2 linked regions of the Anolis sagrei genome follow. Each later gene encodes a partner of the first gene's protein in a complex. Links are inferred from orthologs where the notes say so. Each region holds a gene or a part of one and is shown in the gene's direction. Other genes may lie near its edges.

Evidence for each region. Proteins that work in one complex are often made in the same cells at the same time.
Region 2: WASHC1 (region 1) and WASHC3 share a complex: the UniProt entries of both Homo sapiens proteins name them as parts of the WASH core complex. The link is inferred for Anolis sagrei from reciprocal best matches to the Homo sapiens genes WASHC1 and WASHC3.

What each region holds. Positions count from the first base shown.
Region 1 is NC_090025.1:177,533,731-177,541,768, reverse strand, and holds the start of WASHC1 (WASH complex subunit 1), read left to right. Parts: upstream 1-5,025; 5' UTR 5,026-5,141; intron 5,142-8,038. UniProt on the Homo sapiens protein: Acts as a component of the WASH core complex that functions as a nucleation-promoting factor (NPF) at the surface of endosomes, where it recruits and activates the Arp2/3 complex to induce actin polymerization, playing a key role in the fission of tubules that serve as transport intermediates during endosome sorting.
Region 2 is NC_090025.1:171,511,080-171,519,040, forward strand, and holds the start of WASHC3 (WASH complex subunit 3), read left to right. Parts: upstream 1-4,909; 5' UTR 4,910-5,032; coding exon 5,033-5,083; intron 5,084-7,961. UniProt on the Homo sapiens protein: Acts as a component of the WASH core complex that functions as a nucleation-promoting factor (NPF) at the surface of endosomes, where it recruits and activates the Arp2/3 complex to induce actin polymerization, playing a key role in the fission of tubules that serve as transport intermediates during endosome sorting.

The sequences.
Region 1 (8,038 bases):
CAGGATAGTGGCAGCCAGGATGAAAGTAGGACCTTCCATCTTCTTCTGGGCTATAGCATGATGGGCCTGCCTCTCCCTTCCTTTCTTTGAGACCGGGCAGTGGCAGTTGGATAGAGGTACGGCTTATCAACTGCTTCTGGGAATAGCTGTGATGGAACTATAGATGTCTCTCCATTCATGGCTATGGCAGTGGCAGCTGGGATGGAGGGAGGACCTTTCTTCTGCTTCTGCCTCTCCCTTTCTCTCTCTGAGGCCTCAGCAGAAGTTGGGATGGAAGAAGGACTTTTCATCTCTTTTTGGGCCAAAATACGATGGGATTGTGCTTGGCTCTTCTTATCTCCCTTGAGGCCAAGGCAGGAGAGTTGAGATAGAGGGAGAGACCATTCATCTCCTTTTGGGATAAGGCATGATGAAGATGTGCCTGTGGATTATCTTGGATCAGCGACTGCATATGAGCCTAGCCTCTTCCATAAAGATGAAAAAAATGTCAAGGAACCCTTTCTTAAGGTGCTTAGAGAGAAAAGGGCAGAATAAACAAGTAATAAATAAACCAAACTATTGCTGGATCTTTGCGCAGCAATTTAATATCAAGCCACAAATGACAGAACCTACAATAATATTATTAATAGAAAAATACTGAGGTTGCACACCATTCAACATTTCTCAGATGAAAATGGGATTTATGTGGCTGAATAACTTCAGATTGTGTCAAGCTAGTGAAAGGTAAGAAAAAGGAAGAACACACAAGCTAGGATCAACCTGTAATAGTTTGCCTTCCCTGAGTCTTCAGGGAAGGGCAGGATTCTGCCCACATCTCTCTTCTCCACCTGCTGAGTGAACTGAGAGTAAACTACTTTTCAATGTTGTATTCGGTTTGTAGCAAATGAAGAAAGTTGAAGGAAGGGAGAAGTAGAAAGAAACTGGGACGTTTTAAAAGATTCTGAAAAAATGAGATGACACAGGATTAATTTTAACTGTCCTTGCTAAATGGGGACAGTCGAGGGATATGAGACTGATTCGCATAAAAAAAACTTTTTTAGTGCATGTACAATGTAGAAATGGTGTGAATCTCAGTGTCTGTTTCACTGAGTATAAAACTTGTGGAAACCACATTTGGTTCCTATTTTTGCCACAGTTTGTGTAATGCCCTCTCACTTGGAGGACAGAGGACTGCTGGTGTTGACTTAAAAAATAAAACATTATTAAATGTATCTTTTCCAACATGTACATGTGCCCAATTTTAAACTGCTTTAATTTTTTAAACTGTTTTAAGTTGTTAAATTGTTTAACATGCTTCATGTTAATTTAAATTACCTTTTTGTTTTAAGTTCTGCACTGTTTCAAATGGCTTACATGGTTTTTCCTTGCACGCCAGCCTGAGGTTCAGTGATACAAGGCCAGATAAAATAGTTCAATAACACAAATAAAGAAGTACACGCACCTCTCTGATTTGTCCTTCTGGAATTATGGTGACCAGCCCTATATCAAAATAGAATAGATGAGTCATTGCAGTCTAATCCTACCAAAAATGGGATAAGCTTTGAGCCATGACATATATTTATTATCCACTACTACTTTGACATCTTTTTTTCAGATGCTGCCAAACTAATTATGGTTTGTTGTGTACTTATGCATCTTGTTATTTTTAAGTATAACACAAATCATCATTGATAAATTAAACCATGTAGCTATCGGTTCAGTGCTCCAGTTTAATGATATCATTCTGGGTTATACTTCAAATAACTCTTCCATAATGAAAAATGACCAGCTTCAAGTACAAATTGGCACTGCTCCACAAAGCAACCCTTTAATTCTTAGATCCCTACCATTTATAAAAGTTAAAGGTTTCCCCTGGCATTAAGTCTAATCACATTCGACTCGGGAGTTGGTGCTCATCTCCATTTCTAAGCCAAAGAGCTGGCATTGTCCGTAGACACCTCCAAGGTCATGTGGCCAGCATGACTGCAGGGAACACCATTATATGCCGGCAAGAGAAAGCTTAAACATAGGATTCACCAGGTCCATACATAAACTGTGAACTCATAGGCCCTGTCCACACTGCCATATAATTCAGTTTGAATTGCATTATATGGCAGTGAAGACAGCCATATTACACAGTTCAATTGCATTATATAGCAGTGTTGATGTGGCCATTGCTATCTCATAGCAGCAAAGACTAGTTAAACATTCAGGAAAAGCAATGAGTAACAAAGTACTTAAAATGCATTCTGAAATCAAACATAATCTCCAACATGTCACAGATGCAAACTGGGACAGATATGATCCAGAATATGTGGTCTAGATAGCAAAAGTTAATGAATAAATACAAATGAGCTAGGATAGGTTGCAGCAGTTTACTTTTGCCATTGCTCTTTCTGAGCTGGTCGCAAACTGCTTTTGGACTTTGCACTCCGTTTGTGGCCATTGAAGTAAGCTGAGGACAAAGGAGGGGAGTGGTTGTCTTGCTTGCATGCTGCAAGTTGCCTCTAGTCGCTTCTGGGGTGAGAGAATCAGCCGTCTACGAAGACGTTGCCCAGGGGACGCCCGGATGTCTTGCAATCCTGCGAGGAGGCTTCTCTCATGTCCCCCAGAAGGGGAGTGAAAGGAGGTGAGAAAAACTGGGACACTTTTAAAACAGCTGAAAACATATAAGGACAGAGGACTACATGGGACTCTCCTTGCCAAAGTGGAACAGTTGGAGAGCATAAACTAAAGCTGAAATGGATTACATCACTAAACACTGATATGTATCCTTTCTAGCAAAAAAAATCATCATATTATCTGTTGTCGAAGGCTTTCGTGGCCAGAATCATCGGGTTGCTGTGAGTTTTCTGGGCTATATGGCCATATTCCAGAAACATTGTCTCTTGACGTTTCACCCACATCTATGGCAGGCATCCTCTGAGGTTGTGAGGTCTGTTGGAAACTAGGCAAGTGAGATTTATATATTTGTGGAATGTCCAGGGTGGGAGAAAGAACTCTTGTCTGGGTTGATGTAGTTTTTTCCGGGCTATATGGCCATGTTCTAGTGGCATTTTCTCCTGACGTTTCGCCTGCATCTATGGCAAGCATCCTCAGAGGTAGTGAGGTCTGTTGGAATTAGGACAATGGGTTTATATATCTGTGGAATGACCAGGGTGGGACGAAGGACTTTTGTCTGCTGGAGTTAGGTTTGAATGTTTCAACTGACCACCTTGATTAGCATTTAATGGCTTGGAAGTGCCTGGGGGGATCTTTTGTTGAGTGGTGATTTGATGTGCCTGATTGTTTACTCTCTGTTGTTTTGCTGTTGTAATTTTAGAGTTTTTTAATACTGGTAGCCAGATTTTGTTCATTTTCATGGTTTCTTCCTTTCTGTTGAAATTGTCCACATGCTTGTGTATTTCAATGGCTTCTCTGTGTAGTCTGACATGGTGGTTGTGAGGGTGGTCCAGCACTTCTGTGTTCTCAAATAATATGCTGTGTCCAGGTTGGTTCATCAGGTGCTCTGCTATGGCTGACTTCTCTGGTTGGAGTAGTCTGCAGTGCCTTTCATGTTCCTTGATTCGTGTTTGGGCAGTGCTGCGTTTGGTGGTCCCTATGTAGACTTGTCCACAGCTGCATGGAATACGGTAGACTCCTGCAGAGGTGAGAGGATCCCTCTTGTCCTTTGCTGAACGTAGCATTTGTTGGATGTTCTTGGTGGGTCTGTAGGTGGTTTGTATGTTGTGTTTCCTCATCAGCTTCCCTATGCGGTCAGTGGTTCCCTTGATGTATAGCAAGAACACTTTTCTTCTGGGTGGATCTTCATCTTTACTCTTGTAGCTGATGGGAAGCTGATGAGGAAACACAACATACAAACCACCTACAGACCAAGAAAACCCAAAATCTGGCTACCAGTATTAAAAAACTGATTCTGGCCATGAAAGCCTTCGACAATACACTGAACTCTTGTCTGTTGGAGGCCGATGTGAATGTTGCAGTTGGCCAACTTGATTAACCTTGAATAGCCTTGCAGCTCCAAAACCTGCTGTCAAGCCAGGCATCCCCCATTCTGTATCTTCTATCTATCTATCTATCTATCTATCTATCTATGTATTGCTGATTAGATATCTTGGTATAAGCAAGACTTGACTCTGAAGAAGCTGGGGGTGGCGACGGCCAACAGGGAGCTCTGGCGTGGGCTGGTCCATGAGTTCATGAAGAGTTGGAAGCAACTAAACGATTAAACATCTTGCTATAACCAAGACTTGACTTGACTCTGAAGGAGCTGAGGGTGGCGACGGCCAACAGGGAGCTCTGGCGTGGGCTGGTCCATGAGTTCATGAAGAGTTGGAAGCAACTGAACGATTAAACATCTTGCTATAACCAAGACTTGACTCTGAAGGAGCTGGGGGTGGCGACGGCCAACAGGGAGCTCTGGCGTGGGCTGGTCCATGAGTTCATGAAGAGTTGGAAGCAACTGAACGATTAAACATATTGCTATAACCAAGACTTGACTCTGAAGGAGCTGGGGGTGGCGACGGCCATCAGGGAGCTCTGGCGTGGGCTGGTCCATGAGGTCATGAAGAGTCAGAAGCAACTGAACGATTAAACATCTTGCTATAAGCAAGACTTGACTTGACTCTGAAGGAGCTGGGGGTGGCGACGGCCAACAGGGAGCTCTGGCGTGGGCTGGTCCATGAGTTCATGAAGAGTTGGAAGCCACTGAACGAATAAACAACAACGAAAGGACAATCCTCGTTGGCATACACTGTGTTTCCAATTCCCAACCCCCAAACCAACCCTTTCTATAGTATTTTCTGGCATCTACAAATTGAAGAAGGGAGTTAAGAGTCCATTAAAGTTTTCACAACTCAGTAGAGGCAATCCTATTGTAGACTTCTCCAAGGACAAATCCCACTGAACTCAAAGCAGAGCTGAGTACATGTGAAACTCCCTACAACCAGCAAGCAACGGGCTGGCAACGAGTGGGGAATACGTTCCCTTTCTGAGCATAGGGAGGACCCGTAGGAAAGTGACGTCAAGCGAGGGCGGAAGTGGGCGTCATGCGGGAAGCTTTGCGGGCGGAAAGGGAGACGAGGTGTGGGCGGAAGTGCCGTTTCCTGGAGAGCGCCGTCGCCTTGGTTGCAAGGGGGGTTCGAGGTGCCGCCTCATTCCAGGTGAGAAGCAGGCGGGGATTCTTCCCTCTCTGACTTGGTTGCCTTCTTCCTTCCCAAAGGGAGAGCCGAGGCTTTCTTCTCCCTCAGAGCTTTGAGAAGAGGTGCATCTACACTGTAGAATGAATGCAGTTTGACACCACTTGAACTCCCATGGCTGAATGCTGTGGGGTCATGGGAATTGGAGTTTGGTGAGGCGCCAGCCCTCTTAGAGAAAGCAAAAGGCCTTGTAAAACTATTGCCACTTTTAACTGCTATGGCTCAAAGCTGTAGAGTTATGGGAGTTGTAGTTTTACAAGGTTTTTGGCCTTCTTTGGCAGAGAGTGCTGGTGCAGCACCAAACTTCAACTCCCCAAATTAACATGGCAGTTCAAGTGGTGTCAAACTGCATTAATATAGAGTGTAGATCAGTCATGAGCCAACTTGGGCCCTTTAGGTGTTTTGGACTTCAACTCCCACCATTCCTAACAGTCTCAGGCCTTTTCCTTTCCCCCCTCAGCCGCTTAAGGAAGAGGCCTGAGGCTGTTAGGAATGGCCACTTGGGAGTGCCTCTGGTGTTGCTGCAAAAAGGTCCTCCATAATGCATGTGACACTGGGCATGCATACTCAGCAGCAGAGTAGCATAGCGCAAGGGCAGATGTCTTCACTGTATCTGGTTGTGATCCCCAAGTTGTGCCAGTCAGCTTTCGTATGATATTATTTCAAGCACCCACTTTTTGCTTGATACTCAGGCAGTGCTTCTTGTAGGTCAGGGCATGGTCCAGAGTGACTCCCAGGTATTTGGGTGTGCTGCAATGCTCCAGTGGGATTCCTTCCCAGGTAATCCTCAGAGCTTGGGATGCTTGTCTGCTATTGAGGTGAAAAGCACATGTCTGTGTTTTAGATGGATTAGGGATCAGCTGGTTTTCCCTGTAATAGGCAGTAAGAGCACCTAGAGCTTCTGAGAGCCTTTGTTCAACCATTTCAAAGCTCCCTGCTTGAGCGGTAATGACACGATCATCTGCATAGATGAAACTCTCTGTCTCTTCTGGCAGTGGCTGGTCATTTGTGTAAATGATGAAGATTGATGGAGCAAGCACGCTCTATTGTTTCTAGTGATTTAATGTTATGTTTTATTTGGTTTGTATAATGAGACATTGAATTTTTGCTTAGATGCATGTTGTTAGTCACCTGCAGGTTGAGAAGGGCAGGATAGAAATGAATAATTTGTTTATTGCAGTGCTGACACATTAGCTATCAATTGGGGGGGGGGGGTGGCTGTAGATCTAATTTGTTATTCTGTATTGTTCTCACACCATGGTTGGGTTTGTGTGTTCATTCCTCTCCTTAGACAGGAAGCATTTCCTTCCATTGTCAGCTAACAGCAGTTTTGCATTGCGTCTTAACTTGACAAACTGCTTAGTTGTAATATCAACTTTACAAAACAAGCCAGAATTGGATTTCAGTTTCTGATGCTGTTGGTGTGTGTTAGTAAACTGTTGTTTTGATTCATTTGGAACGAGCCTGTAGTCATTTCGAATACTAACTGTGATTGGTTAAAAGGAGAATGCATGTTTCTGATCTTTTTGTGTCTATACTGGATTATGCAGGGAGATTTTAGTTTCACACCATCTGAGGATGCCTTCCATAGATGTGGGCAAAACACCAGAAGATAATGCTTCTGGAACATAGCCATACAGTCCAGAAAACTTGCAGCAACTCAAATTTTAGTTTGTTACATCCGAGCACTTCCAGAGAAGCTGTTTTGTAAAAAAAAAATAAAAAAAAAATACAGAACCCATGATAGGAAAGAAAGCTTGTGCAATAATAAGCCAATCAATTAATCATGAGTCATTAGTCCCGAGTTCAACTGAAAACATATCTCTTCATATAGGATCTGAGCATATTGTAAGCTACGCCTCTTAAAGTCTGTGAGCCACATATTCTGTGAGAGAGAGGAGGTCCATGGACTGGTGCCAGTCTATATCCTATCCACTGCTGGTTCACAGTTAATTTCCAAGAAAGAAAGGAGGAGGCGTTGTCATGTGGTGCCATGTGATGCTAGTCCCACACATTAAGCAATACAGAGAGCACTGCTATAGGATACTAGCACATTCCCTTATTTCAGAGGAATCCTAACACGAAGCCCTTAATGTAGATGCAAATTAACTCTATCAAATCTTTCTGTATCAGCTATTTTAAATACAAGGCACCTCACAATTACCCCTTAGTTAGTTGGGAATGCACGTCATGCAACTCTGTGTCAGGATTGTACTGTCCTTCTCTAATGGCTTATGTACTTGATTAATCCTTCTAAATGTATCCAATTGGAGTGGTTTGGAACCACTCCCAGCTGGTGCTGTTTACACCTTTGGCTCTGCCTTTCATCTGTGGTCACTATGTTGAATGTGTAAATTAGTTTCCTCTACAGTGGATAGGAAGTGCAAAAAATCATACACGTTTTATATTCTATTTTTTAAAAATTTTTTGTTAATATAGACGTATGTTGGTAGTACGCATCTGCATGAAATGTCTGCCTATTTTATGGTGACACTGAGGGACAGTGGCTTTTAAAAGTTGTAACATTGCTGTATTGCTGTGGGAAAGGAAAAGAAACACCCAGAAATTAACAGAAATAGCCTCATAGAGTAACCCAGTTGGGAATGTATTTGAATGATCTTTTGATTTGGAACCACTGTTTGCAAGGCACTGATTTTAAGGTCTTCTACAACTGAAGACCAGTTGCGCAGTGGGTTAAACCACTGAGCTGCTGAACTTGCTGACTGGTAAGATTGGCAGTTCGAATCTGGGGAGCGGGGTAAGCTCCTGCTGTTAAGCCCAGCTTCTGCCGACCTAGCAGTTCAGAAACATGCAAATGTGAGTAGATCAATAGGTACCACTTTGACGTGAAGGTAATGGCA
Region 2 (7,961 bases), about 6.0 Mb from region 1:
CCAACAATAGCTGTACTTCTTTCCTTGAAAGGGGTAGTAATTTTTGCCCTTGAAAGGGATAGTAATTTTTGTTTGTGTATATCATGTTTGTTCATGTTCTTGGAAACATATGCTGACTCTAAATATGATGACCTTAAGGCAACCCTATCATGGGGTTGTCTCTGCAAGATTTGTTTAGAGTGGGTTTGCCTTTGGGCTAGTCAGAAAGGTTTCTCTGCAAAGGGGATGAGGAGCTGTGATGGAGCTTCTTTCCAGACTTGCCTCACAGTGCTAAACCTTAAGCTTACATTGGTCATCTTCACCATTTTACCGTCAATCAAGATCCCTCCTTGAACTAGGTACTTGGGCCTTAAGGTCATATTTATATGGAACAATATGTGTTCCATGAATTCACAGTGGTAAGTATAATCACATAGTCTATCTAAATTTGATAGTAACAGCCACAGTTGTTTAAAAAAGAGAATGAATTAGCAGAAGTTTATTAGGACATACTTAGATCGCGCAATAACTCCTGTAGTGTTCAATTATTCACAGCTCCCAATAACTCTATTCTGTTCTTCACCCTAGCTGACTGTCCTCCTCTATTACAGTTTTTCCCGGTCTCTCTGGGTGTATTTGCACTAGCACTTATGCAGTTGGGCACCACTTTAGCTGCCATGGATCAATGCTATGGAATCCTGGGAGTTGCAGTTTGGTGAGGCACCAGCACTGTTCTCAAAGAAAACTAAAGAGCTTTTAAAATAACGCCCTCCGTGATTCCACACAGCACGGAGCCATGGTAGTTAAAGGGACACTGAATCACATTAATTTTACTCCCTGAGCCACATATGAACTGAACATTTAGTGCAGCTTCAAACTGATATTGAAGAAAGTGCATACAAAATTTCAGAACCAGTTTAAGACCCAGATGGTGATTACAAAAGCCACACAGAACTGATGCACATTAAGGGGTTTTTCATGTGCTTTTGTGGCAGTTTGTTGCCTGGCCTCAGCAGTTGGAAGCTAGCTGTGTGTATGTGCTTGCATATAATTCATTTATTTATATCCCGTGTAGCGAAATGTCTAGGTTTTGGGGTATGTTTATTAATATTGGGATATATGGGCTGGTTAGTTAGGGGGTGGCTAGAAGCCCAGGCCATGGTGACATAACTCCCCAGGCAAGAGAGCAAGGGCCGGAGCCAACTGCCACTGAAAAAAAAGAATGTTGATTTGAAAAGGGTCAGTTGGTGGCTGGATGAGCCCAAAGGATGGTTGCTTATAATTATGTGGAACTAGACCAAACAGTTTAAGCTCTAACAGGTAGTCAGGGAAAGAAAGGCTGCACTAAGTAGTGAGCCAGGTATTTGTTCTCCAGTGTGGAGTAGTTAAGAGTAAAAGCCAAATCTGAAGTAACAGGAGTGAGACTGAGAATAGTTTATAAGTCTAAACTGCAGATACTAAAGAGACAGAAGAAAATCTGTTGTTAAAAGTGTAACAGTTATATGTTTTTGGAAGAGTCAAGAATTAAGTGTAACAATAATAAGATAATATGTAACCGCCAAGCATTGTGAACCTGAGAAATCTTCAAACAAATGTTTATATTCAGTTCAGATTCTGAGAATTCAGGTTTATTTATTTAAGAGAAGATTACTCAAAAGAAAAGAAGTTGCAGATTTTGTGAAGTCAAAGATAAACTGGTTGCATTGGATTACACATACTAAAGTGAAATAAACAGGTGTCTTAGAAATATCCCTCTCATATAAGCCTCACCCCCAAATAAACAAAGCCTCATCCTCTACATCAGTGTTTCTCAACCTTCCTAATGCTGCGACCCCTTAATACTGTTCCTTATGTTGTGGTGACCCCCAACCATGACATTATTTTCGTTGTTACTTCACAACTGTAATTGTGCTCCTATTATGAATCCTAATGTAAACATCCGATATGCAGGATATATTTGCATTCACGGGACCAAACTGGGCACAAATATACAATAATACAACCAAATTTGAATACTGGTGGGATTGTGGAGAGGATTGATTTTGTCATTTGGGAGTTGTAGTTGCTGGGATAGTTCACCTCCAATCAAAGAGCATTCTGAAATCCACCAACAACAGAATTGAACCAGATTTGGAACACACACCTCCCATGAACAACAGAAAATATGGGAAGGGTTTGCTGGGCATTGACCTTGAGTTTTGGAGTTGTAGTTCATCTACATCTAGAGAGCACTGTGCACTCAAACAATGATGGATCTGGACCAAACTTGACACAAATACTCAATATGCCCAAATGTGAATACTGGTGGAGTTTGGGGAATATAGACCTTTACATTTGGGAGTTGTAGTTGTTGGGATTTATAGTTCACCTACAATCAGAGTATTCTGTTCTCCACCAAGGACAGAATTGGGCCAAACTTCCCACACAGAACTCCCATGACCAACAGAAAATACTATGTTTTCTAATGGTTTTTGGCGACCCCTCTGACACTCTCTCGCGACCCACAGAGGGGTCCCGACCCCCAGGTTGAGAAACACTGCTCTACATAATTGGTGGCAGCTTCATGAGTTACAGAGATACTTTCATTTCATCCCACTTTATCTCTCCAGATGGGAGACTCAAAGCAACTCACAATCAAAAATATTACAAAAATATACAAAAATAAAACTGTATCATTATATATTGTTTTATATTATCAGTAGTAATTATAATTAATATATTGTTATTATATGCCTTCCCAGAACAAGGACTCCCAAGCAATATGTTCCAAATGCACTTTATGAGAGAGTTAGTACTGTCTGCACGCCCACCTATCTTTAAAATATCCAACCTATTTCCCTGGACATGCCCAGCATTTTAAAATTTTAATTCTTACATTTGGCCCTACCACAGGTTTTTAATTGTGTCGTGTCATTATTGTATTGTTTTGCTTTGTTATGAGTTATTTATTGTTGTATTGTTGTTGTGTTTTGTGATGTATTTGGGCTTGGCCTCTTGTAAGCCGCACCGAGTCCTGCGGGAAATGGTCACGGGGTATAAATAAAGGTTTATTATTATTATTATTATTATTATTATTATTATTACTACTATATTACAATATATGATATTGTATTAGGAGTATATTACATTGTATTATATTATTATATAAAATATATTATATTATTAGCATTGCACATTAGTATTATATACTGCCATATGGTACTATACCACTATACTGCAATATTATTAGTATACCACAATATATATAATATGTGCTGTCGCATGCTGGGCCTGAAATAATGTCTGTTTACAGGACGTGCCTTCTGTATGCTCAACGGGACGCCGGGGTGCCTCAGCTGAAGGGTCCCTTAAATTTCCCAACACAAAGTTCTATTGAGGTTATAGACATCAATGCTAGGCTGTAGATCTGCCAAGCTGAAAGGTGTCCTTTAGTTTCTACACGAAGGCTGTAGGAACTGTCCTGTTGCCCCAGCAAAGGCTGGCTGTATTCCTTCAGCAAAAGCTGTGGAACCTTTCCTTTTCCCCCAGCAGAGCTGTGGATCTATTTCTTTACTCCCCAGCAAAAGCTGTGGAACCTTTCTTTTTCCCCCAGCAAAGCTGTGAGAAGTGAAGCTTTTGTGCAGGTGGGAAAAAGAATCCCACACGTTCTGCTTTTAGGCTTCAAACAGTGAGACTGAACAAAATCCCCCCTTCCCTCCAAAACCATGGGAAAAGGGGCGGGTCTAAAGATTAACAATGATTTTTCAGGTTGCTGGCCCTATGATTGCAACCTGAGGGAAGCTACCTTATTGCAAAATGCATGGCTTAAATAAATTCATGCAAACTAGCAGTGCAAGAAAAGGAATTCAAATCTCCTGGCACTGTTGTGCCAGCACATAATACACTACCATTATTATACTATTAGTATTATATATTGTTCTCTCTCAATCTCACACACACATATACATACGCCCGTATGTATACACACAAATTTATTTATTTATTTGCTTTACTTCTATACCGCCTTTCTCAGCCGAAATGGCGACTCAAGGCGGTTTACATAGTAAAGGTTAACACAACAACATCAAAAAGGCAATTAAAAACACATTATACAAACATATCAAGTCAAAAACAATCATTATCATAGACGTCTGCATTAGTTGTTCACACACTATTTGTTGTTCACACACAGACAGGCACACACTGAAATATAATTATGGGTAACTATATGCATATAGTACATGTTGTTGTTCATTCGTTCAGTTGTCTCCGACTCTTCGTGACCTCATGGACCAGCCCACGCCAGAGCTCCCTGTCGGCCGTCACCACCCCCAGCTCCTTCAAGGTCAGTCCAGTCACTTCAAGGATGCCATCCATCCATCTTGCCCTTGGTCGGCCCCTCTTCCTTTTTCCTTCCACTTTCCCCAGCATAATAGTCTTCTCTAGGCTTTGCTGCATATAGTACATAATTATGTTTAATTGGGATATACTGTGTGTATGTGTACACACACACACACACACAAATTTGGAATATTCAAACACAAAAATATATTTCCAAAGAATACAAATATTCACTGACATCCCCATATAAGTTCATATACAGATAGGTACACACTGAAATATAATTAAAGTAACTCAGGCCCCTTCCACACAGCTGAATAAAATCCCACATTTTCTGCTTTGGACTGGAATATATGGCAGTGTGGACTCAGATAACCCAGTTCAAAGCAGATACTGTGGGATTTTCTGCCTTGATATTCTGGGTTATGTGGACATGCCCTCAGGCACAACTCCAGAGCGCGTTCTGCAGATCACCTCAAGGAAAACGAGGCAGATGGAATCCATATGTATTTGAAAACTACTTTCCTAGAGACTTCCGGGTGTCAGAACTACAGTCCCCATGATGCAACGCGGCTCAGAGAGCGGCGGCTTCCGGTCTCGCAGCCCAAGCGCCTGAAATGCCGATGAGCCGGGTCAGGGTGGAGGGTGATCTCGCGATCGCTTCCGGGAAGAGGCTCTTTCGCTTCTCGAGGCGCTCTTCCGCTGGAGGAGGGGCCGATGAGCGCCTGCGGGGATGGACGAGGACGGGCTGCCACTCGTGGGTTCGGGCATCGACCTCACCAAGGTACCGGCGGCTGCAGGGCCCTGGTTGGCCTCTCAAGCCAGGCCTCGCCTTCCCCAGTGATGGATGGGCTCCGGGACTAAGCCAGGCAGGGTCTCAACCAGGCCTGGGCCAACTGGGGCCTTCCAGTAGGCTGTTAGGAATTGTGGGAGTTGAAGTCCAAAACACCTGGGGGGCCCAAGTTAGGCCAAGGCCTGGTCTATCATGTCAGTTGCCCTTCCTGTCTTTCTCTTTCTCCACTTGTTCATATTCCTTTCCTTCAGAGTCACTTTGATCTCATGTTTGTGTATTGTTTACAAGTGTTATGGCAGAAACACAATGCCCCATATTTATTGCAGGCTGCATTTTATCTTGTTGATACAGGCCTGAGCAAACTTCGGCCCTCCAGGTGTTTTGGACTTGAACTCCCACAATTTCTAACATCCTACTGGAGGGCCCAAGTTGGCCCAGGCCTGCTCTATCAAGTCAGTTTCCCTTCCCTTCTTTCTCCTTCTCATATTCCTTTCTTTCAGAGTCACATTGATCTTATGTTTGTGTATTGTTTACAAGTGTTATGGCAGAAATACAATGCCCCATATTTATTACAGGCTGCAGTTTATCTTGTCGATACAGGCCTGAGCAAACTTGGGCCCTCCAGGTGTTTTGGACTTCAACTCCCACAATTTCTAACATCCTACTGAAGGGCCCAAGTTGTCCCAGGCCTGGTCTATCAAGTCAATTTCCCTTCCCGTCTTTCTCCTTCTCATATTCCTTTCTTTCAGAGTCACATTGATCTCATGTTTGTGTATTGTTTACAAGTGTTATGGCAGAAACACAATGCCCCATGTTTATTGTAGGCTGCATTTTATCTTGTTGATATAGGCCTGAGCAAACTTGGGCCCTCCAGGTGTTTTGGACTTCAACTCCCACAATTTCTAACATCCTACTGGAGGGCCCAAGTTGGCCCAGGCCTGGTCTATCAAGTCAGTTTCCCTTCCCTTCTTTCTCCTCCTCATATTCCTTTATTTCAGAGTCACATTGATCTCATGTGTGTGTATTGTTTACAAGTGTTGTGGCAGAAACACAATGCCCCATATTTTATTGCAGGCTGCATTTTATCTTGTAGGTACAGGCATGGGCAAACTGGGGACCTCAAGAGAGATATTGACAAGCTGGAATGTGTCCAGAGGAGGGCGACTAAAATGATCAAGGGTCTGGAGAACAAGCCCTATGAGGAGCGGCTTAAGGAGCTGGGCATGTTTAGCCTGAAGAAGAAAAGGCTGCGAGGAGATATGATAGCTATGTATAAATATGTGAGAGGAAGACACAGGGAGGAGGGAGCAAGCTTGTTTTGTGCTTCCTTGGAGACTAGGACGTGGACAATGGCTTCAAACTACAAGAGAAGAAATTCCATCTGAACACGAGGAAGAACTTCCTGACTGTGAGAGCTGTTCAGCAGTGGAACTCTCTGCCCCAGAGTGTGGTGGAGGCTCCTTCTTTGGAAGCTTTTAAACAGAGGCTGGATGGCCATCTGTCAGGGGTGATTTGATTGCAGCATTCCTGCTTCTTGGCAGGGGGTTGGACTGGATGGCCCATGAGGTCTCTTCCAACTCTTTGATTCTATGATTCTAGGTGTTTTGGATTTCAGCTCCCACAATTCCTAACAGCCAGTAGGAAGTTGAAGTCTAAAACACCTAGAGAGCCCAAGTTTGCTATGTTATTACAGGTTTAGCATTCATTATCCTGAAATCCCAAATACTCCAAAGTCTTGTCGAAGGCTTTCATGGCTGGAATCACTGGGTTGTATGTGCTTGGCTAAAAACTGTCAGGCCATCAAATGCTAATCAAGGTGGCCAATTTGAACATTCACATCTACCTCCAACAGACAAGAGTTTTTTCTCCCACCCTGGACCTTCCATAGATATATAAACCCAATGTTCCTAGTTTCCAACAAACCTCACAACCTCTGAGGATGCTTTCCACAGATGCAGGCAAAATGTCAGGAGAGAACATGGCCATACAGCCCGAAAAACCTACAACAATCCACTCCAAAGTCCTTCGGCTGGGAAAGTGACACCTTTCCTTTCATAGAATTTGGGCCATCCAGTCCAACCCCCTGCCAAGAAGCAGGAAAATTGCATTCAAAGCACCCCTCACAGATGGCCATCCAGCCCCTGTTTGAAAGCTTCCAAAGAAGGAGCCTCCACCACACTTCGGGGCAGAGAGTTCCACTGCTGAACGGCTCTCACAGTCAGGAAGTTCTTCCTCATGTTCTGATGGAATCTCCTTTCTTGTAGTTTGAAGCCATTGTTCCGCTTCCTAGTCTCCAGGGCAGCAGAAAACAAGCTTGCTCCCACCTCCCTATGACTTCCTCAAATATTTATACATGGCTATCATGTCTCCTCTCAGCCTTCTCTTCTTCAGGCTAAACATTCCTGAAGAAGATGGTTCTTGATGGTTCAGTGTACACAAACTGTTTCATGCACCAAATTATTAAAAAAAAATGCATAAAATTACCTTCAGAATATGTGTATATAAAATATAAATGCATTTCTGTTTATACTTGGATTTGGTCTGAAAGGTGTTTCCTTCTGCTATGTGTGCATATACAAATAATAATAATAACTTTATTTGTTTCCCACCCCATCTCCCCAGAGGGACTTGGGGCGGCTTACAAGACAACAACTATACAAACACGAGCAGCATAGAATGTACAACAAAAATCAAAACAGTACAAATGTTTGCCAAAAGAAATAAAAAAAACCATAACAATTGAAGTTTAACATAAAACATGTAAAATCAAAATAAAATAAGCAGTAAGCATAGCCAAAGATTTAAAGTTTGAAACCATAGTATCCAAGTACAGGCATTCCAAAAGAAAAGAAATATCCATTATCCAGAG